3 linked regions of the Rhinolophus ferrumequinum genome follow. Each later gene encodes a partner of the first gene's protein in a complex. Links are inferred from orthologs where the notes say so. Each region holds a gene or a part of one and is shown on either strand. Other genes may lie near its edges.

Evidence for each region.
Region 2: the proteins of stromelysin-2-like (region 1) and TIMP2 are in contact, whole or in part, in a crystal structure (PDB 4ILW), measured with the Homo sapiens proteins. The link is inferred for Rhinolophus ferrumequinum from reciprocal best matches to the Homo sapiens genes MMP10 and TIMP2. Residues at the interface, in NP_002416.1 of Homo sapiens: Glu155, Asp169, Phe170, Tyr171, Ser172, Pro176, Gly177, His178, Ser179, Leu180, Ala181, His182, Ala183, Tyr184, Pro185, Pro188, Gly189, Leu190, Tyr191, Val214, His217, Glu218, His221, His227, Pro237, Leu238, Tyr239, Phe242; in NP_003246.1 of Homo sapiens: Cys27, Ser28, Cys29, Ser30, Pro31, Val32, Gln36, Ala37, Asn40, Ser57, Gly58, Asn59, Asp60, Tyr62, Asn64, Pro65, Ile66, Lys67, Arg68, Thr91, Ala92, Pro93, Ser94, Ser95, Ala96, Val97, Cys98, His123, Leu126, Cys127.
Region 3: the proteins of stromelysin-2-like (region 1) and TIMP1 are in contact, whole or in part, in a crystal structure (PDB 3V96), measured with the Homo sapiens proteins. The link is inferred for Rhinolophus ferrumequinum from reciprocal best matches to the Homo sapiens genes MMP10 and TIMP1. Residues at the interface, in NP_002416.1 of Homo sapiens: Phe170, Tyr171, Gly177, His178, Ser179, Leu180, Ala181, His182, Ala183, Tyr184, Pro185, Tyr191, Asp205, Ala206, Ser207, Gly208, Val214, His217, Glu218, His221, Phe226, His227, Thr231, Tyr236, Pro237, Leu238, Tyr239, Asn240, Phe242, Thr243; in NP_003245.1 of Homo sapiens: Cys24, Thr25, Cys26, Val27, Pro28, Asn37, Leu57, Tyr58, Pro87, Met89, Glu90, Ser91, Val92, Cys93, Arg98, Thr121, Cys122, Cys155, Leu156, Ser157, Ile158, Gln173, Leu174, Gly177, Ser178, Glu179, Lys180.

The regions. Positions count from the first base shown.
Region 1 is NC_046294.1:72,226,596-72,234,676, forward strand, and holds the start of stromelysin-2-like, read right to left. Parts: upstream 3,063-8,081; 5' UTR 3,005-3,062; coding exon 2,900-3,004; intron 2,128-2,899; coding exon 1,883-2,127; intron 1,785-1,882; coding exon 1,636-1,784; intron 1,450-1,635; coding exon 1,324-1,449; intron 1-1,323. UniProt on the Homo sapiens protein: Can degrade fibronectin, gelatins of type I, III, IV, and V; weakly collagens III, IV, and V. Activates procollagenase.
Region 2 is NC_046304.1:52,689,817-52,697,536, forward strand, and holds the start of TIMP2 (metalloproteinase inhibitor 2), read right to left. Parts: upstream 3,062-7,720; 5' UTR 2,759-3,061; coding exon 2,629-2,758; intron 1-2,628. UniProt on the Homo sapiens protein: Complexes with metalloproteinases (such as collagenases) and irreversibly inactivates them by binding to their catalytic zinc cofactor. Known to act on MMP-1, MMP-2, MMP-3, MMP-7, MMP-8, MMP-9, MMP-10, MMP-13, MMP-14, MMP-15, MMP-16 and MMP-19.
Region 3 is NC_046284.1:86,405,866-86,413,454, forward strand, and holds the start of TIMP1 (metalloproteinase inhibitor 1), read right to left. Parts: upstream 3,082-7,589; 5' UTR 3,046-3,081; coding exon 2,910-3,045; intron 2,061-2,909; coding exon 1,932-2,060; intron 1,202-1,931; coding exon 1,122-1,201; intron 807-1,121; coding exon 680-806; intron 455-679; coding exon 330-454; intron 1-329. UniProt on the Homo sapiens protein: Metalloproteinase inhibitor that functions by forming one to one complexes with target metalloproteinases, such as collagenases, and irreversibly inactivates them by binding to their catalytic zinc cofactor.

The sequences.
Region 1 (8,081 bases):
AGAAGCCCATTAATTTTATAACCAGGTCCCTTTTCTTGTAGTATTCTGGAATGGCATGAACCTACTGGTTTAGCGCATCAATAAATATTTCTCTTCATTTGTCAATGAAAAGATAAACATTGTTTCAATGTACTGACATTTGCCAGTCACAATCTAAATTAAATGAATCACAGTTTCTTCATTTCAATTCTGGAATCCTTAAACAATCTTACTAATGTTATTTGACATCGGAATATTGCCTGCACAACTTTTCAGCCTCATGATGATTATTCAGCACATATTGTGTTCAAAAATATTAAGAATGATAGAGGTCATTGGATCTATAAGATTGATTTAAAACATAATACGCCCAATCATGTCTAGCATTGATCACAAAAGAGATTTTGGCCAAACAAACACTACCTCTACTCAGGTTTTTTTCTTCATATTACATTTTTTTTATAAAAACAAAACAAAACAAAAAAACACAGAATACTGAAATTGGAAGGCATTGGGTAATTATGATTGACATACCAAGTAAGTTGACTTTACTTTTAAAGTTGTTATTTGAGACTTTTTGGGACTGTCCATTTGGAGCAAGAAGTTGTTAATTCAATCACAACAAATAATTTTATCCAGCACTAACGTCACATTTGTTCTCTCTACAGAGATTCTGTTTGCATTTTGATTATAAATCCAAATTAAATTTCAGAAGTAGAAGTATTTGTTTTAACCAATTGTTTGAAAACTTTGGAAGCCATTCTCAAACTATACAGTTATGAAATGAAAAACATTCTTTTACCTGAAAGGTTTGGACCTTTTATTTCGGAGTTAGCCCTTCCCTTCAGAACAAGCCCATAAAATTTGTTTTAACCTAGAGAGAGTAAATTGTTCATTTAACCAGATAAACCTAAACTGGAACCTCAGTTTCTGGAATTTAATTCTCATTTCTGTTTTGAAGAGTATAGAAGTCATAGGGGGAAATTTCCCCAGTTGGATATAAACAGTATCCAGGGCACAACTTAGTGTAAATTTAACCCTTGGATAGCTACAATTTGATATGAGAAATTGTTTTTAATGATGATTCTAAGATCACAAAAGATCCATAGTCATCAAAGAAATACTTAATGATGCTCCCTATGTTGTGCTCACCAAGACAGAGAATAAACTTTTTAGACATCTGAAAACGTTTTTCAATAATAATTATGACAAAAATACTTACCGTCTGCTGGTCTGTGACCCATCGGACAATCCAAAACAACCCATTTCTTCAATGTTCTTAGTTATTAAGACTTTTCCAAATATTAAAAGCATCAGAATCGTTCTGAGAAATGTATAACTAACCTGATGTGTCCTTTGTCCATTGTTCATCATCATCAAAGTGGGCATCTCCATGAATCCCCGGCCCGGGTGGGTAGGCATGAGCCAAAACCATTCCAGGTCCATCAAAAGGATAAAAGTCTCCGTGATCTAAGAGAGAACATGTGTTTTGTTTTGTTTTTGGTGTTTTGTATTTTGTTTTTGTTTGTTTTTTAATTGGAAAGCTAATTGTTCTTAATGATGAGGAATCTCTTTGGAATCCTTTCCAATAAAACACCACCAGCCAAATGGATGCATTTCATGGGTCTTGTTTGTTTGTTTGTTGTTTCTTTTTACCTCTAACTGCAAAAGTGATCATTATGTCAGCCTCTCCTTCATAAATCCTGGAGATTGTAAGTGGAGTTACCTTCTCCCAGACTTTCACAGCTTTCTCAATGGCAGAATCAACATCATCTCTTGGCAAATCCAGTGTATAATCCACAATCCTGTATGAGAGAGAACATTTGAGGAAGATGATATTTTCTTCTGAGATAGTAATTTATAAAGTCTCAGTGTTCTGTGAAAACCTCTTGGGACCCGTTACCTGTAGGTAAGGTGAGTTTTCCTCCACCTTGGCATGCCAGGAAAGGTATTGAAGTGCCCAACATCAGGAACGCCGCACCTGGGCTTCTGCATCACCTCCAGAGTGTCGGAGTTCAGCTTCCCAGTGACCTTCAACCCCAGGAACTTCTGCATTTCTTGCATTTTTCTGACAACAGGACTACTGTCCTGTATTCTAGCAAAGACTTTCACATCTTTTTCGAGGTTGTAGTAGTTTTCTAGGTAGTGCTAATGGGATAATAAGTATAGATTTTAGGTCATTCTTATGATTTTTAGCCTTTTGTAGTACACTTGTGCAATTATTCACTTAATCTTTTTCAAATATTCCTCCAGTTTGCTAAAATAAAAATCAGTGTCATATTATTTTTCATTCTTCAATTAGACTCCTCTTCACCTTTGCTTTGTCTTTGTAACTAAATAATCTCTACAGTTTAGTTTACTACCAAAGCAATGAAAATGAAATGGAAAATTTAGATAAATATTTGGTGCACTTAAAGGAGAAACTGAAAGACTTCTTTGGGATTAATTGTGTATTTCAGGTACATTTGTTTAGTTTCCTCAATTTTCCACTTCATTGGTCTCACAAGAACTTGGCTTAGGAAAAAACATGGACAAATCCCTGTGTCTAAACATGACACTAGCAATGTAAAAATCTAGCTAATTTTACATTAAGATATCTAAAAAAGTTCCAAAGCAAGACACATTTTGCAAACTCTCCCCTTGTTCATGTGTCTCAAGCCCAGTGCTGCTGCTATTATGGAGTCTGTGATCTTAGGGAAATACCTCATCCATCTCACCTTTGTTTCTTCATCCCTGAAAGGAGAAGCCGGAATAATGTGATACCAAGACCCTTTTCACATCAAACACTTCATAACTCTCTGTCCTTGAACTACTCCTGCACAGCAATTCAAACCACTCTGAATGAGGTTTATGAATGGAAAACAGAGGGTTTTCCCACTTGGCCCTGTGAGTGAGTGTGGAATGTATTGCCCTTAATTACCTGAACAAGGTCCATGCTGTCATCCCCGTCCCTGGCAGCTCCCTTCAGTGGATAGGCTGAGCAAACTGCCACACACAGCAACAGCAGCATTGGAAGGTTCTTCATTTCCACTCGCTTTACTCAGCTTGGTGTGGTCTTAGTGCCTTGCTTTTTGCCTGTCTTCTCCTAGGTCCACTGTCTAGAGCCCAACTTTTATAGGGTGACAATGTTCCTTTAGATCACGCACAGCTTGACTCATGATTGCTGTCACCTGCATAGCAGCTGGACCACTTCCAAAACCTCCAAATCCAAAATAGGATGATACAAGATACTTTACTAATTTCTCTCAACCTTTCTAATTTTGCGAGTCAAAATAATGATGAACCTCTCCAGGGAATGCTTCCTGTCTTGGTAGAGAAAAACAGGGCTTTTTTTCCTCTGGAAAAAAGTAACTGGAATTTACTAGACAACTTATGTTTGTATATTTGAGAGAAGTAGGCTGATTTGGTAAAAAGCCAGAATTGTGCAGAACTTTTAAATGCAGTTTTAGAAGAACATATTTAAAATCAAATGTTATAAGACCTAAGTAAATGAAAAGCTGTACATATATAGCTATAGTCTGTACTATTAGACTATTAGATTCTGTAAAAGTGGAAGAAATAACATGTACAATAAAATTGGAAAGGAGAGTTCATTTGTGTGTGTGTGTGTGTGTGTGTGTGTGTGTGTGTGTGTGTGTGTGTGTGTATTTGATTTGAAATACCTATTATTGTTTTCTGGCTAGATTTTGTTAATCCTTGAGGAGGCAAAATGTCACGTCCAGTGCAACACAGTCTGTGGGGAGGCGAGAAGAGGCGGCTTTGGGTTAAGTATTTTAAGAAAGAGAGAAACAGAGACTCAATGCGGTTAAATCTCAGAGAGCCAAGGGTCTCGGAGCCTCGAAAGACTAGAGCCCCGAATTGGACGGATTGATGGCTTTTATTGATCACAAACAAGGAAGTGGCATTCTTTTAGACACGGTCTGTGAAAGTCATCCACTACATCAGAAAACTACCTCAAACCGAAATTATTTGTCCCAAAACAGCTGAAGCATAGAGTCCCATAATTACTAAGGTGCAGTATGTACCTCGCTGGGGGGCAAAGTCTCTCCTGGTGAAACAATTGCATGAGCTGAGCAGAAAGAGCTTGATCTTATCACTCTAAAGACCTCTCTCACAATTAGGTGAGAGGGAGCAGCCAGAGTCAGCAGCTTTTTCTCAAGCATGGGGGAAGGGGAGGCAAGGCTCCTTCCCAGATCTTCTAGGGCAGCTCATGGGGGTCTCTGTGGGGTTCCGCCTGGATTGAGTTGTTCCCCCCCTCCATGGGGAATCTTACTCGTCATTGGCTGCAAACCCTCCTTTTGGAGACCAAACAGAGAGACACAGGATGTAACCAGTCCCAGAGAAGTGCAGTACCACAGACTCTTCTTTCTTTAAGGAAAGGTGTCAGGGGACAAACGGCTAGGATGTTGTGTGACTACAGAAAAACTCAGAGGCAGGATAGAACAAAGATTCTGAAGAAAACAGAAGTGTATCCATTCTCTTTTGGTTGGTCTTAATTCTGTACCCAGTTTATTAATGAGCAACAGACCTGTGATAGCAGTTCCATAAATACTAGTAGAATTGAAAGGATTACATGCTTACTGGACTAAAATTCTCCTCTGTCTCTATCTTCTACACTTTTAAAAAATTCTTTCAATTTCTTTTCCTTCTCCCTAAATTCAAATTAGTAGATACTTTGAAGTTAAAAAAAGAAAAGCCATCCTAAATTCTCTCCCCATGCTGCTTATCTTTTTTTCTCTCTATTCCTGTCTTCTCCTTTTTCCTTTTTTTCCCCTTTATGTTCCTTCCCTTGCTTCTTTTTCTTTCTTTTTCGTTGTCAGTAGAATACTACTCATACCGTGTTTGCCTGAAAATAAGACCGGGTCTTATAGTAACAACTGTGTATACTAAATGCTTGTAGGAAGCACTAAATATTCTCAAAAGAAGAACCTTTGTGAAACTTTTTACAGTCTTCTTGCCATCAGACACCCATTCATTTCTCCCACTGGTCCTAACCCTTACAAAAAATAAAACAAACAAAAAAAGCAAATGCAAAAGGAATGCAAATCAGAGGGAGTAAAGCTTACACTTATTAAATGTTCAGTAAGTACACAACAGTTTTGTTCATTACTACCCTTTTTATTCTTTGTTTGTATGCTTGCTTATTTGTTTACTAAAAACAGAACATCCTGGGAATGAGTATTAAGTAAAATAGTGAATAAAAATGTGCACTTGGGCTGGCCCGGTGGCTCAGGTGGTTGGAGCAACCGTACTCTTAATGCTGCCAGTTGGATTCCCATATGGCACAGTGAGCTGCGCCCTCTACAGCTAAGATTGTGAACAACAGCTCTCCCTGAAGCTGGTCTGCCATGAGCAGCCAGAGGTTGGCGTGAGCTGCCGTGGGCTACTGTGTGTCATCAGGAGCAGTTGGTGGCCAGTGTGAGTGGCCAGCAGCCAATGTGAGCTGCTGTGTGCTGCCGTGGGCTGCTGTGTGCTGCTGTAGGCTACCATGTACTGCCATGAAGGGCCTGAGGCCAGCCAGAGCGGCTAACATGCAGTGAGAGCTGCCCTGAGCTGCTACGTGCTGTGAGTGGCCACGGGGAACCGACTGCCTGGGGTTGGGGGTTGAGGGGGGTGGAGCAAGGCTCATAATCCCAGCATGGGCCAGGGAGCTGTGTCCTACACAACTAGACTGAGAAACAACGGCTTGAACTGGAGTGGTTGGGGGGTGAGGGGAAGGCAGAAGAAAAATTGTGCGCTTAGTGAACATTTAATAAGTGTAGGTTTTGCTTCCTCCCACTTGCAAAATTTTTGTATTTTCTTTTCTTGCCTTTTTTTTTTTGCTTTATTTTTGCATGTTTCTTAATAAACACAGGAGAGATTTCATCCAATATGTATAAAAAATGGAATAGGATTCCTCAGTCATAGGATCCCTGTAACAGGAGATGTCCAGATGCCTGAGGACCACTCGGCACAAGCTATACATCAAATTTAAGCATCCATTTTTAGATTAGATGCTGTCTAAAAACATTCCAAAACTCGTGTTCTACATTCCTTTGGTGGGTGGGGGGAGGTCTGTGTCTTGTCTTGATGGAAATAAAGGGGAAATATTTGTTCACACACTGATGTCAGGATAGCTAAGGGCCTTGCCCTGTAGTGGAAACGCATTCCACGAAAGGGTGATGGAGTCAGACAGAAAAGGAAGTGAGAGATTAAAAGTAGGAGAGCTGTGGCAGCCACAATCGTCAATTTCCTCTAGATTAAGGTTTTGCAATACTTCTCCAGTACCAAAATTTATAAAACATATTTAAAGTTTAGAAGGAAGCCTTACAAGTATTATGATTATTTTCCCAACTGTTCAAATGTAATTGGCAAAATGTACCATATTGTCCCTGAAATATACACAAAAGTCTGCCAAAGGCAGAACTTTGTCATCTTTTAAAGCAGCTTCAGAGACTTCTTTGAGAGTTCTTCCTCAAGCCCCAGGAATAGTTCATTACTTACTTTCTAATGGTATCTTGTACCTGCCTCCGTTGCTGCTGATTCTGACTGAATTGTAGTGTAATGGTGTATTTATACCCTCCCCTATATTACCATAAGTTCTTGAGGATAGGAACTGCTTCTCATTTATTTCTGTATTCCTAATACTTAACACAATGCCTTCTGTATAAAAGATACCCCAAAATTGCTTAGATAATTAATTAATACATTAATTATGAATGAAAGGCTCACAGCAAAAGTCAAAATGAAAAGTCAAAAAATTCACAAATCATGCATATGTTTCTAAATTCCCAGATCTTACATGTGATATTGACCAACTCTCCTAATAACCGAATTTTAAAGAAGTTTCGTTTTCTCAGAAAAAGTTTAAGCTGTCATCTTAAGTCTTTCTAATAAGAGAATAAATCAAAGACTTACATATTCAAAATCCTCATCCTATGTTTGTGGAATAGCCAAACTAAGATTCTAGAATCAGGGAGTTTTCTGGCAATGCATGAGATAGTCAAGTTTTATTTTGTAGATTACATTTTAAAAGGCAATGCATTAATGAGAAGGAATAGGTACATTAAAGAGCAACTGAGTGAAAGAAGGAGGGAAAAGGAGGGGAAGGAAGGAAGAAAAGGAAAGGAGGGGTGAGAGAGGGATAGGAAAAGAAAGGAAGAAAGAAGGAAGAGACAGAGTAAATACACTAAATGGAGAGGGGAGCTGTGAACATCAGAAAAAGAAAATTCCCCTCCCCCCCCGCAGAACAGTCATTTGTCATATGGCTAAATACATAGAAGGGTCAGATAAAGACCAGCTTTATAAATCTGACTTCCAGGAATCAGAGACTTGGAAGTAAACTTAAATTCAATGTAATCCAAACTTGGATACAAAAGCTGACAGTAAGTCTAAGTAGCATTCTGTCTGATGACTTTTCACATTTGTCTCCCTGTGTATCATGCTTCTCCATGACTAATCAGATAAGATAACACATGATCCTTGTTATCTCCAACTGATATAACCATTCTTTCAGCTGAACATTCATTTATCAAGTGTCTGGGTCAAATTCTTCAGAATACCCAAACTAAGAATGTAAATTTGGAGATACTATTTAAAAGAGAAATTTAGAAATAATGACCAATTAGTTATTTAAAAATAGAAAAAGATGGAAAGATGAAAGAAGGAAATGAAAGAAGGAAGGATATAATCTGATAGAGGAGATGACCCCTTAATTCTACAAGGAATAAAGAAAGAAGTTGTATAGGCATTATGCAGGAAAAAAATGTGTTTACCTTAGAAAAAGCCCATAGAAAAATTCACAAAGAGTGGAACCTGAAATGACTTGGACAAGGAGGAAAATGTAGGAACAGAATAAACCACTATGCAGTCATGAATAGTTTAGAGTCTACATGGAAAATGGCAGAGTTAATTTTTTTTACTGAAGTAAAAATTGTGTGAAAGCTAGGAATGAAAAATGAAAAATAATGTTGTGAGTAGATAGGTTGTGGCCTAATTGTGGAAGGCCGTTGGCCTTGTGAAAAGTTGACATAAGTGGAGCCATTTTAAAATAGAGCTAGAGCAGCCTTTCCAGAGGAAGAGCCTTGCACATTTCAATCGTTGAAGCTTTGAAATATTTGAAC
Region 2 (7,720 bases), on another chromosome or scaffold:
ACAATTACAGAAGCCAGCATGCTGCATTAAAGGTCAGCCTTTAGCATCCCCCAACATGCACCAGGCTATCATCCTTTTCCAGAACCCTGGGCCACAGTTCTGATGGCACAAAGTCACCTGTGGGGATTCAAAACTGTAAAAGCAGAGGTCTGAGCCAGACTCTACATCTGCGAAGGGTACTGAGACCTGAGTGATCGTTAAAAGATCCCAGGCAATTCTGCTCTCAGCCCAAGAGGAGGAATGGGGAGGGATTCCCGAACCTGCACCATTAAAGGAGCAGTGACGTGAAAAGGCCATTGCTTTCCTTGCGAGGTTTACTCCAGGCCCTCCAGGGCCAGCCCGGGGATGTCTCAGCTCGGTATTCCCAGCCCACCAAACAGGGAAGGGCTGACTGTGGAACAAGACTGGACAGCCTAGCTCAGATTGCATCCTCCCAAATTCATGGCCACGCAGACCTGTGAATGGAACCTTATTTGGAAACGGGGTCTCTGCACATGTGATCAAGTGAAGATGAGGTCATGCTGGATGTGGGTGGGCCCAAATCCAATGACTGGCGTCCTTATAGGAAGAGGGAGATTTGGACACAGACACAGACCGAGGAAACAGCCATGTGGAGACAGAGCAGAGAGCGGAACGATGCGTCTGCCGGCCAAGGACCGCTGGGGCCACCAGCAGCCGGGAGAGGGGCCCGGATGGATTCTTCCTCAGAGCCTCCAGAAGGAACCAGCCCTGCCCACACCTCGATTTTGGACTGCAGACCTCCTAAACTGTGAGAGAACCAATTCCTGTTGCTTGAAGCCCCCCAGTATGTAGCAGTTTGTTCCAACAGCCCTTGGAGTCTAACACACTGGGTTCTGCCCTGAAACTCTGGCATCTGCAGGCCCCGCCCTCCCAGCCTCGGGCTGCGATGGGATTAAGGCTCCATGATTTTGATGCAATAATTTGGACACAAACAAGGGAGATCCAGGCGGAGGAGAGAGTAACACACAAAGCAAGAAGGAGCCTCCAGGCATAATGAAGCTCCCCAACCCTGACCTTTGCTGCCCATGATCCAAACCCCAGCCCCAGCCCGCCCTGGGCAAGCACTGAGTGGCAGGAGCAGCTGAGAAGTGTGAGGGGGTCCCAAGGCCCAGCCCCTGTCCCCTTGGCTCCTGTGAGCCACGCCGGGGAGTCTCAAGAGCCATGATGCCTTCTGGGCCTCAGCCTTATTTTGCGCCACAACTGGTGGCCAGAAGCATGGCTTCTCTCTCAGCAAAGGGGCCTGGACAGGCCTGGACGTCCAGGGGACACCCCACGGGAAGGTAGATCCTCCCAACGGAGGAACCTCTCCTGCCCCCTCAAATCTTGCTGAGCTTCAAAACCAAATCAGAGAACAGACCTTCCTTCCCCCAGTTAGGGTTTTGTGGAACCTACTCAGCAAGCACACCCCACGCCCAGGTGGCCTGAGCCATGTGATACCACAGGTGGCAGCACCTGAAGGCTGCCCAGGCTAGGCCGCAGAGGCAGCTTAAAGGGCCAGCTGGGGTGTGGAGGAGTCCAGGAGGCACGGCTGACAACGGGGGAACCCAGAAACCCCAGCTTGGAGCCTATGCAGGTGAGTGCAGCCCAGCTGCGACAAAGGAACAGAAAATAAAGCTACTGAGAGGTCAAAGGGCGCTGCAGAGGCCCGCCCACCTGCAGGGCATCTGTCCTTCTGGTGAAACTGAACTTGCCCCAGGACAAGCTGGCTGACCTTCCCCAGAGCTGGTGAAGCCTGCAAGCATCAGACCTGGATGGGAACCTCTGGGGCCCAGCTGGTTCCACCCATTCCTGCTGCCCCTTGAGGACCAGAACAAATAAGTGGGTTTCTCTTCCCTCCCTAGCTCCCACCTCTGGGGGGCAAGAAGTCCTGAGAATAATAGATATTTCCGAGGGGCTCTAAGCAGCCACACAACCCCACCTACCCGCTTCCAGTCACTAAGGTCTCCAGTTTTGGTGTGTCCTGAAAAGTAGTCACCAGCAGCAAGCAGTAAGGACCCTCCTGGGCAGAACACGGAGCAAGGGGCCAGCCCACGGGTTCTGCAGGCCTCTCCCAACGGCCCCTCTGAGCCCTGGAGCCTGCCCGCGGGAGGGAAGCTTTCATCCCGCCCCCCCTTTAATCCGGTGAGCCCCCAAACGGGGCTGGTGGGAGAGGCCCAGCCCCACCCAACCCCAAGCCCAGAGGAGCCCAACTGCCATTTCACCTGTGAAAGTTTCTTCCTGGGGTCCCCAGCCCTCCAGCCCACAGAGGCCAAGACTCCCCCCCCACACACACACACACACGCTGTGTCCCCCATTATCCCCCACCCCCGCGCTGGCATCCCAAGGGCCCTTCGCCTGCCAAAACCCAATCCGTTCCCTGGCTCCCTTTTCTGGGGCTGGAGCTGCAGCGGAATTTCGGTGGAATTTTGAGGTTGAGAAGCATCTCGGCAGAGAGGGAAAGAAAGGGAGAGGAAGGGGGAAAAGAAAGTGCGATTTTGGCGTCAACTTGCAGGATTCGAGAAGGCGCTGAGGGCCAGAAGGCGGGCGGGGCTCCTGCGAACCCTCGGGGGTCCCGCGAGCCCCGCGGGGGAGGTCACCCACCAGGCTTGGGCGGGTCGTCGTTCTTACCTACATCTGCATTGCAAAACGCCTGTTGCGGGTGCACCGGGGAGCAGCTGCAGGCGTCGGCGGGGCGGAGCAGCGTCCCCAGCAGCAGGAGGCCGAGCGCGAGCCACAGGCTGCGGGCCGCGGCGCCCATGGCGGGCGGGGGGCGCGGGCCGGGGGCGCGGGCTCGGGGCTCGGCCGCCGCCGCCTGGGCTCGGGGCGCTCCCCTCTGGGCGGACTCGGTGCGCGGTCTCACTGCGCTCCCGGGCGCTCCCTCCGCACCCGGCACGCACTCGCCCGCACAAACTTTCCCGGGTCTGTGTCGCGGGGGAGGCGCGAGGGCGGGGGCGCGGCTGAAGCGCGGAGAAGAAAGCGGTGGGGGGCGGCGAAGCGAGCGCGTGTGGCGCGGGTCCCAGCTCCTCCACAACCTTCTACGGATGTGTGCGCTGCAAGCTTGCACCGACCTGGCTCTTTATTGAGCTGGGAGGGTGTCGGGCTCCGCCTCCAGTGGCCGACGACCAATGGGGCTCCAGGGGCTCCAGTGGCCCCGCCCCCGCGCCTCCCGCGCCTCCCAGGCCCTACCCCAAACTCGGCTTTTGTTGTGCCCTGGGGGGCCCGCCGCTGCGCACCTGGCTTCCCACCGCCCTAGGCAGCACTCCGCAGCCTCTCAAACCGACAGAGGTTGTAGTGGGGGGCAGGATGCGAGGAGGACAGCGCATCAGGCGGCCCTGACTCAGCACTTGGGACTCGAAGCCCCCCCCCAAGGCACCAGGCAGCCCACCCACCACCCCTACCCCTTCCCCTCCAGCTTGGTATGGGAGGTGTACACTGCCTGATTCCCTTCCACCTTTGGGGGCCCTTAGATTCTAGCCAGAGATTGAGCAAAAGGGGTGTGAGCTTCGGAAGAGGGACCATTCTCTGCGGCCCCCTCCCGTGCCTCCTTGTGGGTCGGTGGCCTCCTGAAACTTACTGAGGATTCATTTTTCAAATGGAGGCCTCAGAATTTTAAGGCCGCTTAGTCAGTTTAGTTGGTAAGGGAGCAGGAGTGGTTACTATGAACAAAACAGGATTTTATATAAACTGGCCATATTTTGACCAGCCCACAAGAGCCAGGGGGCTGGGCCCGGGAGCCCAGGAGGTGGTAGGATTGAATGAAAGCATTTGCTGGGTTCTGCTCACAGTTCCCTCCCTTAGCCCACAAATGTGGGAGCTGTAGAACTCTTCCCAAAACAGTTCTGTGTTCCAGGAAGGGCAGAAGATCTTAGAGGTGTGGACCCGGCACGTGAAGTGTGACCCCGGGGGGATTCTGTCTACCTGTCATTGAGCCTGCCCTGAATCCCTTTGCAGTGGGCGCTCTTACACACAGACCCTCCCTCTTGCCCACAGGATGCTTCGAATCCAGCTGGGGAGATGTAAAGGGAGGAAATTAAAGAATAATTGCCTGCTGAACTGTGTGGTGCTGACTTGAGATGTGAAACTGGAAAATATTTAAAGAGTGGAAAATCATTTCTTTCTACTTATGTGTCCTTTGAAACAGACAACTTGAAGAAAAGTTAAATAGGCAGAGGAGTTATTTTTAGCACCCTGACAAAAACCCAAAGTCACTTTTTTCGGCCTTTGTTCATGTAAAATAGAGTAGTGTTACATGTTCTCTGCTCCACGGCCAAGAGGGGGGCAACAAGACGGGAGAAATTCAGGGAAAGGGCTGCAGCTCTGACCTCACCCCCAAGGAGGGAGGATGGGGTCAGTTTGCCTCAAACCCAGGCAAGAGAGAGAAGCAGGTGGGAGGAGCCCGGGGCGCACCTTGTCTCCCAACCGGCCTCCTCTACTTTACTGTTGGCAGTGGGCGAACAGAGGAGCCACACAGGAGACACCGCTCCCTGCAGTGTGCATCTGACTACAGCCTGCAGGACCTCGGCTTGTTACGTGTGGCTCCCAGCAGAGCAGAACTCAGGATAGACAGGAGGGAGCATTGCCTGCTAGGCCAGCTGGGGAGGGGCTGGCTTCTAGCACCCTCAGACCACACCCCTGGGGCCACCACTTCTGACCAGGTACACTCACCTGCCTCCCCCCAAAGAGACTTTCCCAATTTAGAGCCCAGCAGAACCCCGCGGAGCTGTCAGCCTTCCCGCCCAGGTCTGAGCACACCCAGCAAATACATCCTGGGCTTGGCTTGGCAGAGTAAATGTTGTCCAGGGCCAGGAGGAAGCGCCGAGGCCTCCTCCCTCCCACCCCACTCAGGTAAAAAGAGTCAGGATGACCTCTCAGGCCTGGGCAAGAGGTGACCTCCATCCAGTGAGTCTGGACAAGAGTTGGAAGCATGTCTTCCTGGTGGACTCATCTTCCGGTTTGCAGGAGATCCATTTCCTCCCATGTCCGGAGTGTTCTCTCCCTAGAGAGAGCTGGTGCTGAGCTGAGCCCCCACACTTCTTCCAGCAGGTTCTGGAAAGCCAGATGCTCTACGGGGTGTGGGCATCAAAATAGGCCCCCCGTACGCAGGAAGCTGGACCCGAAAGGGTGGAAATGTCTTGGGCAGGTCTGGGGGCAGCAGGCAGAGGGTGGCTGTAGGGGGAGGTGGTGGGGGTGTCTCTTGCCTGGCTGTCTGGAGGTTTCTGTGGTTTGTGATGCGTCTCCTCAGAAAGGAACGGACAGCTGACTTCAGGGTCACGATGGCCCCCTCTGTCAACTCTGGGCAACAGGAGGCAAGTGGCATCTCCCAGCCCAGATATCTGTCCCCAACATTCCCTGGTGGGCTGTTTGCCATAGGACGTCCTGAAGATGACAAGGAGTCAAGAATGGCTGGGCCACCTACAGCATAAAGATGGGCAACAGTTCCCTGCACACTCCACATAAGCCTTTGTGGTCAGCGGTGGACGTTCTGAAGCATGTTCCTATTTTTGTTTCATTTCATCAATTTCATCATTAATGCTCTGCAGCCAGGGCCAGCTTCCAAGTCCCCGGCCCTGCTGACCTTGGGCTACAGCATTGGGGGGGGGGGCACCCTGGGCTCTGTGGGGTATTGAGCAACATCCCTGGCCTCCACCCTCTAAATGCTGATAGCACCCCATCCCAAGTTGTGACAGCCCAACATGTCCAGACATTACCCAGTGTTTCCTGGGGGGTGGGTGGGGGAGGGAGCATAACCACCCCAGCTGACAAGCCCTCACTTAGGGAAACTAATAAAAATCTTGGCTCTTTAGAAAAGCAAAATGCAAAGTTCCATCGCCTGTGTCAAGGTCGAGCAGAGTAATGCCCATAGCAGCAAACCCACGTCAGTGTGTGTTCCGGGTGCACCACCCGTCCACACTGGTTCTCAGGGGAGGGAGGGAAGCAAGGGATAGTGAAAAGGTTGTCCTTTAAAGGCGCCCATGAGTAAATAGCATGGATAATGTTTCATTCATGTGAAATGAAACATATGCATGGATATAGACAGGTGTAGAAAAAGGTGTTTGCAAAAAGTGAGAGGAGTGGCTCTGGGTGGCGGGAACTTAGGTGACAGGACAGATGTCACATCCTCCTCCTTGTGCAGGAAAAACAACTTCCAGAGGAGGACCCTAAAAAGGACCGCTCCAAGAGCAGGAATACGGGTTTCTCTGTGCTGTCTGTCTGTGGAACACCAAAGCCTGCCTGGCTGCAGCTCAAGGGCACATGGGTCTGGGGGGGCACGTCTCCCAGCACCGAAACTGTACTGGCCCAAGGCCTTTACTCTCAAACGACCCCACTCGTTCACCAACACTGCTCTTGGCTCACGCCTCCCACTGGGGGTTCTTTTGCTGCATCCATGGCTGCATTTCTTGTCATCCTCTAGGGCATCTTAAAGAAAGTGGGGCTTGGCCTCTCTCTGCCTGTACACCTGCCACCTGCCCCCTTTCCTCTCCTCCCAGGCAGGCACCCTTTGGGGCAAAGGCAGCCTTGAGCCAGGGCCTCCACCTTGCAAACCTGTCTGGATATCAACTCCTGCTCCCCAATACACGGAACTCAAGCCTTCAGGGCTGGGGCTGCATGGTCCAGTCTAGAGTGACCCCAAAAAGAAGGGAGGGAGGGAGGCTGTCAACAGGAAGCCCAAGAAGTCATGGACTTGAAGAGACAGGCGCATCGAAAACATCTGGGAGCAGACAGCCCGGACTGAAGGCACCTGAACACCTCCTCCAGGCAGGCGCCCTGTTGCAGCAGCGGTATCAGCCCCAGGCAGGGAAGCCTTGGCCAACCTTGTTCTGGGGGCCTCTGGGATGGCACTGCCTCGCCTCCCTGCAGATGCGTTTTGCCTCCCCCAACTCAGAAGGTGCTGTCCTGCACGCCTTCCTTCCAGGATTGAGGGAGGGTCCACCATTCCCAGAAGGGCACACACGGAGCTCTGCCTTCCTCTGCCACCTCCCACAGCCCCACCTGTGTGCCTCCTGCAGCTCCTGCACTGGGCCTCCTCAGACCCTCCTTCAGACGTCGTCGTCGGGAAAACAAAGGAGTAAGAGAAATGTAAGCAGTCGCTCCTTTCAGGCCTGCTGCTGTGCGTTTTCTCATGCCCAGGGCATTTCCTCTTGGCCCTGGGCATGTGGTCATGTGCTTCCTGTCATGGGCGGGTTAGGGAGCAGGGCCAGGGAGCAGAGATGGGAACCCAGCGCCCGTCCATCTCCAGCTTCCAGGAAGCAGCCTCAGCTGGGTTCTGGGGACCAAGGGCTGTCCAGGAGCAAGGGGTGGGACACCTGGGGAAGGGCAGCCCAGCTCGGCAGGGGTTTGTTGAGGCTGAGTTTTCATAGTTTCAGGTTCCCCTCCCTGGAAGCCCAGAGGCGGGAGGCTCAGGTTTCCCGCCTGCCCGCCATTCTTCCCTTCCTTTGGTGTCGGGAGTGACGGGCCCATGGCCATGATGTCACCGCCTAATCCAAACAGAAGAGGGCTGGTTTGGCGGCGTTGGCGGAGGTCCCATGCTGAGTGCAGCAGTACATTTCATGTCAAGGCTATGATTAGGGCTGTGCCCAAGAATTCCCTCTCCCTTTCTCTCTCCTTCCCTCTCCCCAACACCGTTTTCTTTCTCTGTTCCTGCCTTGTCTTCTTTCCCCTGCTGCTGTCTCCCAGGCTCTCTCTTCTTTGGGGGTGCTTCACGTTCCCGGTGAGGCCAGCC
Region 3 (7,589 bases), on another chromosome or scaffold:
CTAGGAACTAAGAAACAATCTCAGGGAGTCAGGAACAGACATCAGGACTATAGAAGAGTAGCAAAGGAGAGTTAGAGGGACAGGAAGCAGCCAGAAAGTCCAGGGAACAGCGAATCCTCAGGTATCAGAAGCCAAGCAAAGGTACAACCAGAATGTTAGGCGAACGGTCTCAGGCCTGGGGGAACAGCAGGAGAGATCAGGGACAGCCCAAGGATTTGGGGAGCAGCCAAAGGGACAAGGAATGGCTAGAGGGAGCAAGAAACAAGCCACGGTTTGGGGAAGAGTCCAAGGAGCACTCTCCAGGTAGTGGGCAGGGCCCAGGCACTCACTGTGCATTCCTCACAGCCAGCGGCATAGATCTTGGTGAAGCCCCGGCGCTGAGCAGAACTCAGACTGTTCCAGGGAGCCACGAAACTGCAGGTGGTGATGTGCAGGTGCCCTTTCCACAGTTGTCCTGCGGGGTGGTGGGGGGGGGGTGGTTTGAGGCAACAGGCAGCTTCTGATTGGCTAGGCCGGGGTCAGGGCGGCGCCTAATTGGCGTCCCTGCAGCACCGACCCGGCTGGGGGCGGTCCCCATTTCAACTGGGACCGTTCCCTCAGAGCCTCGCCGGGCCCAGGATACCCAGCAGCGTCTGAGGAACGGGTGGGCGTGGCCCAGGGCGAGGGGGCGGGGCCTCACCAGCGATGAGAAACTCCTCGCTGCGGTTCTCAGACCGGTGGAAGTATCCACAGACGCTCTCCATGGCCGGGGTGTAGACGAACCGGATGTCATGGGCATCCCCCAAGGCACTGAACCCCTTGAACATCTGTCGATGGATGAGGGGAAGAGTCTCTTTTACTGACATAATCCTCCCACTCTATCTTCTTCATATACCAGCATCCTGAGATCACAGCTAACTTCCTGCTCACCAACCAACAGCCAAAGGCTTTTCTTTCTCTCTCTCTCTCTCTCTCTCTCTCTCTCTCTCTCTCTCTCTCTCTCTCTCTCTCTCTCTCTCTCTCTCTCTCTCTCTCTCTCTCTCTCTCTCTCTCTCTCTCTCTCTCTCTCTCTCTCTCTCTCTCTCTCTCTTTGACAGGGAGAAAGATGTTAGGAACTGCTGAGGAAAGTGCAGTAAGGGTACCTTGGTCATTTTGATCTCGTAACGCTGGTATAAGGTGGTCTGGTTGACTTCTGCGGTCCCCACGAACTTGGCCCTGATGACTGCCGGAGAAGAGGGGGTAAAATGAGTCAAATGAACTACGTGAGCCAATAAAACTAAAACAATCACAACAGTCATGCTAACAAAGCACATACATAGATATCAATCACTGGATGCCAAACAACACACTAATAGTTCTGTTCATTGCTTTACCTATATACTGAGTGCCTACTCTGCCAGGCACTGCTTTAAGCCTTTTTCATATATTCATCACGTGTTCATTCACTCAACAAATATTCTAGAGTGCCTGCTGTGTGCTAGGCACTGTTCTGGGTGTTAGGGACACAACAGTGAACAAAACACAGAAATCCCTTCCCTCGTGAAGCTCACATTCTAGCCAGAAGGAGGCAGACTAAACACAAGCAAAATAGATCAGTCTATGGAATGTTAGAAGGTATTAAGTATGACGGGAGACTTCAGAGTTGGGTAAAGGGGATCAGGAGTATTAGGAAACAGGGATTAAAATTTTGAGAAGGTGACTTTTGAGGCAGCCACCCATATGGATACCTGGGGCCAAGGGGGTACCAGGCAGAGGGAGCAGCCAGTGCAAAGGCCGTGAGCTGGGACTGGACCTGGAGTAATCAGGGAACCATGAGGTTGCCAGTGTGGCAAAAGCAGAGTCAGGGTAGGGCTGAGTTTGGAACTGTTCTAGAGGTGAGCCCTGTCGTGAACCCCAATGGACTGAGGCGGAAAACAAAGCACAGAGCGTGTGGGCAGAGTAGGGTAACTCACCAAGGTCGGAGCTACAGAAGGCCATCTGCGGGTGGGGTGGGGCACAGGTACATGCCCTGCTGGGGGCTGCCAGCCACAGCAACAACAGGATGCCGGAGACCAGGGGCGCAAAGGGGGCCATAGTGGGCTCTGCAGAGGTAGGGAGGAGGGGTCAGGGAGGCCCCCAGCCCAGCTGATCCTCAGACTTGGCAGGCCTCCCACCCCATCCTGTCCCCCCCACCACCACCACCAAGCAGCCTGGAGGGGGATGAGGTGACTGTACTTGGGATTAAGGGGTTGGGGAGTTTGGGGATTTTAAGTGGGGGTGGGGATTTGAGAGCCCACAGTTTAGGGGGTCAGGAGTTTCAGAGTTGTGAAATTTGAGTGATTTAAGGGACTGGGTGAGTGGGGGAGATTATGGGGCTGTGGTGTTAGGGGATTTAGGGGGGTCGGGGAAGTCGGAAAGTTGAGAGGAGTTGGGGTGAGGAATTTGGGGTTTTTGAGCTGGAGGAATTTGGGGGAGGTTGGGACTTTCAGAGTTGTGCATATTGAGAGAGAGAGGAGGTGGGGGAGTTGGGGAGGCTGAGGGGGTTTAGGGAGTTGCGGGACTTGGGGGGTTTAAGAGGGTGGGGGTGCCAGAGGGATTTGGGAGCAGATGAGTCTCCAGGTTTAGGGAGTTGGGGATTTAGGAGTCTGGAGGCTTGGGGGGCAATGAGGGAGTTCAGGGCAGTTGGCCGCTTAGGAGGCTTCTGTTGTATTAGGGTTTCGTGAGTTTGGGAGAGTTGGGATGGATGTCAGGGGTTCGGAGGAGTTTGGAGTGCCGGGATTGGGGGAGCAGTTCCAGCACCCTCCCCCCCTTTCCCTTGACCAGCCCAGGGTCCTGGTACCCCCCTCCACCCCCACCCAGCCAGGCTGAGCAGCCAGGTGTCCGGCAGCCGAGGCAGGAAAGCTCGAGCTCTGCTTTAGGCCCTGCTGCCACAGAGGCAGGCCCCTGCCTACCTTCGGTGTAGCTTCTCTGGGCGCTGGGTCTGCAGTGATGGCGGCAGGGCCAGAGCAGCGGAGGATAAATGTCCACTCGAGGGGCGGGGGTGGCAGTAGTGCGGAAACCACAGGCCTCCAAGCTTCCTGGACGCATTACTCATCCGCCCACCATCAGTGGAGGCCAAGGGGCGGGCCGAGGGCTGCCGAAAACGGGCTTCACCCTCCTCTCCCTCCCCCTGCGCCTCGCCCTGGTCATCCCCCTCCCCCATCTCCAAATCGGCCCCATAGGCGGCCTCAATGGAGGGCTTAGAGGCAGGATTCCCCCCGTGCAATTCCCTAAAGCTTCCAAACTTTCTCCAAAGTCTATCCAATCACCCACAAACCCCCAAACTCCCCATGGCTGAAGCCTGAATTAGTTCATTCGTCGGTGAACATTTCTAGTGCACCTACTGTATGCCAAACACACACAAAAATTCCTCTCTGGAGGGGTGGTGGGTTAGCTCAGTTGGTCAGAGCGTGATGCTGATGACACTAAGGTTGCCTGTTCGATCCCTACATGGGCCGCCGTGAGCTGTGCCCTCCTTAAAAAAAAAGAAGAAAAAGCAAAAATTCCTCTCTGATACACCCGACATCCTGGTGCAGGGTTGGGGAGGCAGAGAGGAGGCTGAGTAGAAGCAGTGGAGGGAGATAAAGCAGGTGAATGGAGGAAGAATACAATCTGGAGTGACTGAGGCATGGACAGATGAAGTGACTTATCCAAGGTCACAGTTAATAAGGGACAGAACTGGGATTTGAACTCAGGTGGCCTGGAGCCAGAGCCTGGGTCTTAATGACCTCTCAAAAAACACAGGCAAATAGTCAGCATTTACATAGCACCAACTGTGTACCAGGCACTCAACATCATTTATCTCACTTAAAGCTCACAATGTTTGTGACAACATAGGTGGATCTAGTAGAGGGTATTATGCTAAGTGAAATAAATCAGATAGAAAAAGACAAATGCCGCATGATTTTACTTATATGTGGAATCTTAAAAACACAACCAACCAAACCAAAGAGAAACAGACTCATAGATAGAGAACAAACTGGTGGTTGTCAAAAAAAAGGAGGGATGGGGGGTGGACAAAATAGGTGAAGGGGATTAAGAGGTACAAATTTTCAGCTATGAAATAAATAAGTCAGGGGACTGCAATGTACAGCACAGAGATTACAGTCAATAATATTGTTATAACTTTGTATGGTGACAGATGCTAACTAGATTTATCACGGTGATCACTTCATAATGTATGAAATATCGAATCACTATATTGCACACCTGAAACTAATATAATATTGTATGTCAACTATAATTCGGTTTTTTTAAAGCTCACAATAAGCCTCTGAGATGGGTACCAACATTATTCCCATTTTACAGATGAGGAAATAAGAGGCATAGAGGGATTGAAGAACTTTCCCAGGATCACAGGGAATGGCTGGGATTTGAACCTAGGCCAACTGGAGCCAGGATCTTAACGCAGGCTTGGCAAGCGGGAAGGTGCCAGTGAATTAATGAGCATTGGAGTGGGGGGAGTTGAATGGTGGTGAAAGAGGCCAGTGAGTCAGGAGAAAACTGATACCCTCCCGTCCTGCCCTGCCCCTGCCCCACCAACCCCCCGCCAACGCCCCGGTAGACGTAGATGGTGGGGTGAGGCAATCCCTGCCCAACAGCTTCCAGATGCTGCCTGAATCTTCCCTGGGGTCCTGGGAAAGGGCTCTGAGGGCAGATTGACATCCTTCGTTAGTTCAAGGAGGACAGACCAATAATAACAATAATGGTAGTTGTTAGCATCACTTATTGAGCACTTACTGTGTACTGTGCCCTGAAGTCTTTGTGTAAATTCTCTCATTCAATCTGCAATACCCCCTGGCTAATTAAGCTGGATTAACTCAGTCAACAACAATACCACCACAATAAAAACTACCACCAGCTCTTGAGGAGTGCTTACTGGTTATCAAGCACCGTTCTATAATCTTAGTATTTTATCTCTCAGTCAATCCTGATTGCCTCCTGGTTAATTAGTGTTGGCTTACCAATAATAGTACCCAGCACTATTATAATAATAGTCCCAGCACTTTTAGAGGATGCAGATTTCCTGTGTGCCAGGTATTGTGCTGAGCATTTTTCACAACTCATTGGTTCCTCACAACATCCCTGTGAGTTAGAGACTGTTCATATTCTCATTATACAGATGAGGAAACTGAGACAAAGGATTGAGTGACCTGCCCAGGAATGAGAGTGAAGAAATTACTCTGAAGTAGGGGAGGAAGTAAACCAGGAATTTGGAGAAGCTGATTGTGAAAGTGGCGGAGTGAGAGTGAATGAGACAGGGGGCTGAGTAAGTCAGTGTCGGGACCAAAGGAAGAAGTGAAAGAAGGGAAAGTCCTGCTGCAGCACTTCACTGACCCAAAGCTGGTTCTGACGCCAGCTTTGTGATTCTGAAACATGAGTCAGCACAGAGTTTCGCCGACTGTCTACATGTGAGGGGTTGTGTGGATCTGGTTTATTGTGCAGGTTTTGAAACTGGTAGGGTTTCATGGAGGGGTGTCCATGTGTGTGACCATCTGGGGAGCTGCGTGGGGGCCGTGGGGGCCATGGGGCCCACCTAGGTAGGCAGAGCAGACACCTGACAATCCCCATAGCACACTAAGTGCTTGTGCCTGATTGTACCCTTTGTACAGATCAGGAAACTGAGGCCCAGAGAGGATTAAGTGACCTGCCTAGGATCCCCCATGGCCTTAGGAGGAAGAGAGACCAAGATTCAAAGCTAGGGCTCTCTAGGGGATCCCAGAGTGCAGGGCTCCCTGCACACACACATGTGTGGGCACACACAGACACACCTGCGGGCACACACACACACATACACACGTGCAGGCACACACAGACACGTGTGGGCACACACAGACTCACATACACACGTGTGGGCACACAGAGACACACATGCGGGCACACACAGGCACACAGACACACGTGCGGGCACACAGGCACACATACACACGTACGGGCACACACAGACACACGAGTGGACACACACAGATACACATCCACAGTGTTGTGTTCAGGCTCAGGTCCAGAGGAAATAAGGAGGGTTTAGGAAAAGAGGAGCCTAGAAAATTTGGGCTTGTGTGTGTGCATTTGTGCACAGCTCTCTGCTGTGTCTCTGCCTTTGAGAGTCGAATGTTTGCCTTTAGGTGGTGGTATGTGTGGTGTATGTGTGGACCTGGGTGTGTGTAGCCCTGTGTGTTTGTGTTGCTTCTAGGAGTTGTGTGTGCCTCTGTAAAGCGGGTCTAGGTTGCACATATCCTTGTGGATGTGTTGCTCCCCTCTGTGAGCTGAGTGTTGCCTGAATGTTACGTCACACATCACACGCTGCTTCTGCAGTGTTTCCCTGCAACACTACCCAGACGATCCTCGCGAGCCCGTCCCCACACGGTTCCTCTCAGCGCCCCATAATGACGACAGTCATTTGGGAAATGAGGAAGGTGGGAATGCGGGAAGGAGGGCGGGCAAGGCCTGAAGGTCAATCGGTCACCCTGAGCCTGCGGGCTTCCTGTGCCTGTCGGGAACCGCCACCGCCCTCGCCACCCCTCCGGGAATAGGGAATACCATCTCTACGCTGTGGGGCAGCAGTCTGCACAGCAGAGGGCGGGCACGGCCAGCCCCATGTGCATCCTGTACTGTGTGGGGCTGGGGTCGCCCAACTCAGCTCCCTCTCTCCCGCCCAGGATCAGGGAGACTTGACATATCCCTGTACCTGAATGTGTGAGCAAATGAGTGTGTGTGTGTGTGCGCGCATGCACACACCCAAGTGTTGTGTGTATGCTTAGGAGGGATGTGGGTGTCTCTAGCTGTGTGTATGCCTCTCCGTTTGTACATATGACAAGGCATGTTGTGTGCATGTCCCTAGATACTCTGTGTGCCCAGGAGTGTGGTGTGGGTGTCCGTGTTATGGGTCTCAGTGGTTCTGTGAATACCTAGAAGTGTGTGTACCTCTGTATGTGGAGTGGGTCCTTCTGTTTGTTGTGAGTTTGCCTAGGAGTGTTGCGTGTGTGTCTGTGAGTGTTGACTACGTGTCCACTTCTGTTGTGTGTGCCTGTCCGAGTTGTGTGTGCCTTTGCGTTCTGTGGCTGTGCCTTGAGGGTTGTCTCTGTATTGCATGGGTAATCCTTCATGTTGTGTGTGTCCCTCTAACTGTTGTGTGGATTTGGGTGATGGGAGGAGGGCTGTGTATGTGTCTGCGCCCAAAACAGTTGAGTGTGTGCTGCTGGGCAAGGAGGCTGGCCTGGAGCGCTGGGCTGAATGACTGGGTGCCGGTGCAGCTGGAGAGCAACGTGGGCTCTGGAGCCTGTGTTGGTTGCAGGTCTCTCCATCTCATGGGTCTCAACCTGCGTGGGCATCTCTGGGTTTGATCGTGTAGATCTGAGTTCTAGGGATTTGTGTGTGTGTCTCTAGGTTGTGTATGCATGTGGACAAGGCTAACATGCAAGGCCTGGCTGAAGGGTCCAGTTGCTACATGCTCACGACCACAGCCCCAGGCATGCACACTCACTTTTCTATCATCCAGTCACTGTATAAACAAACTTTCCCTTTTCCGGAAAAGGCTCCCACCCTTATCCAAGCAGAGGCAGAAAGTCTGGAACTTGGGGGTGGTGGAGGGGGAG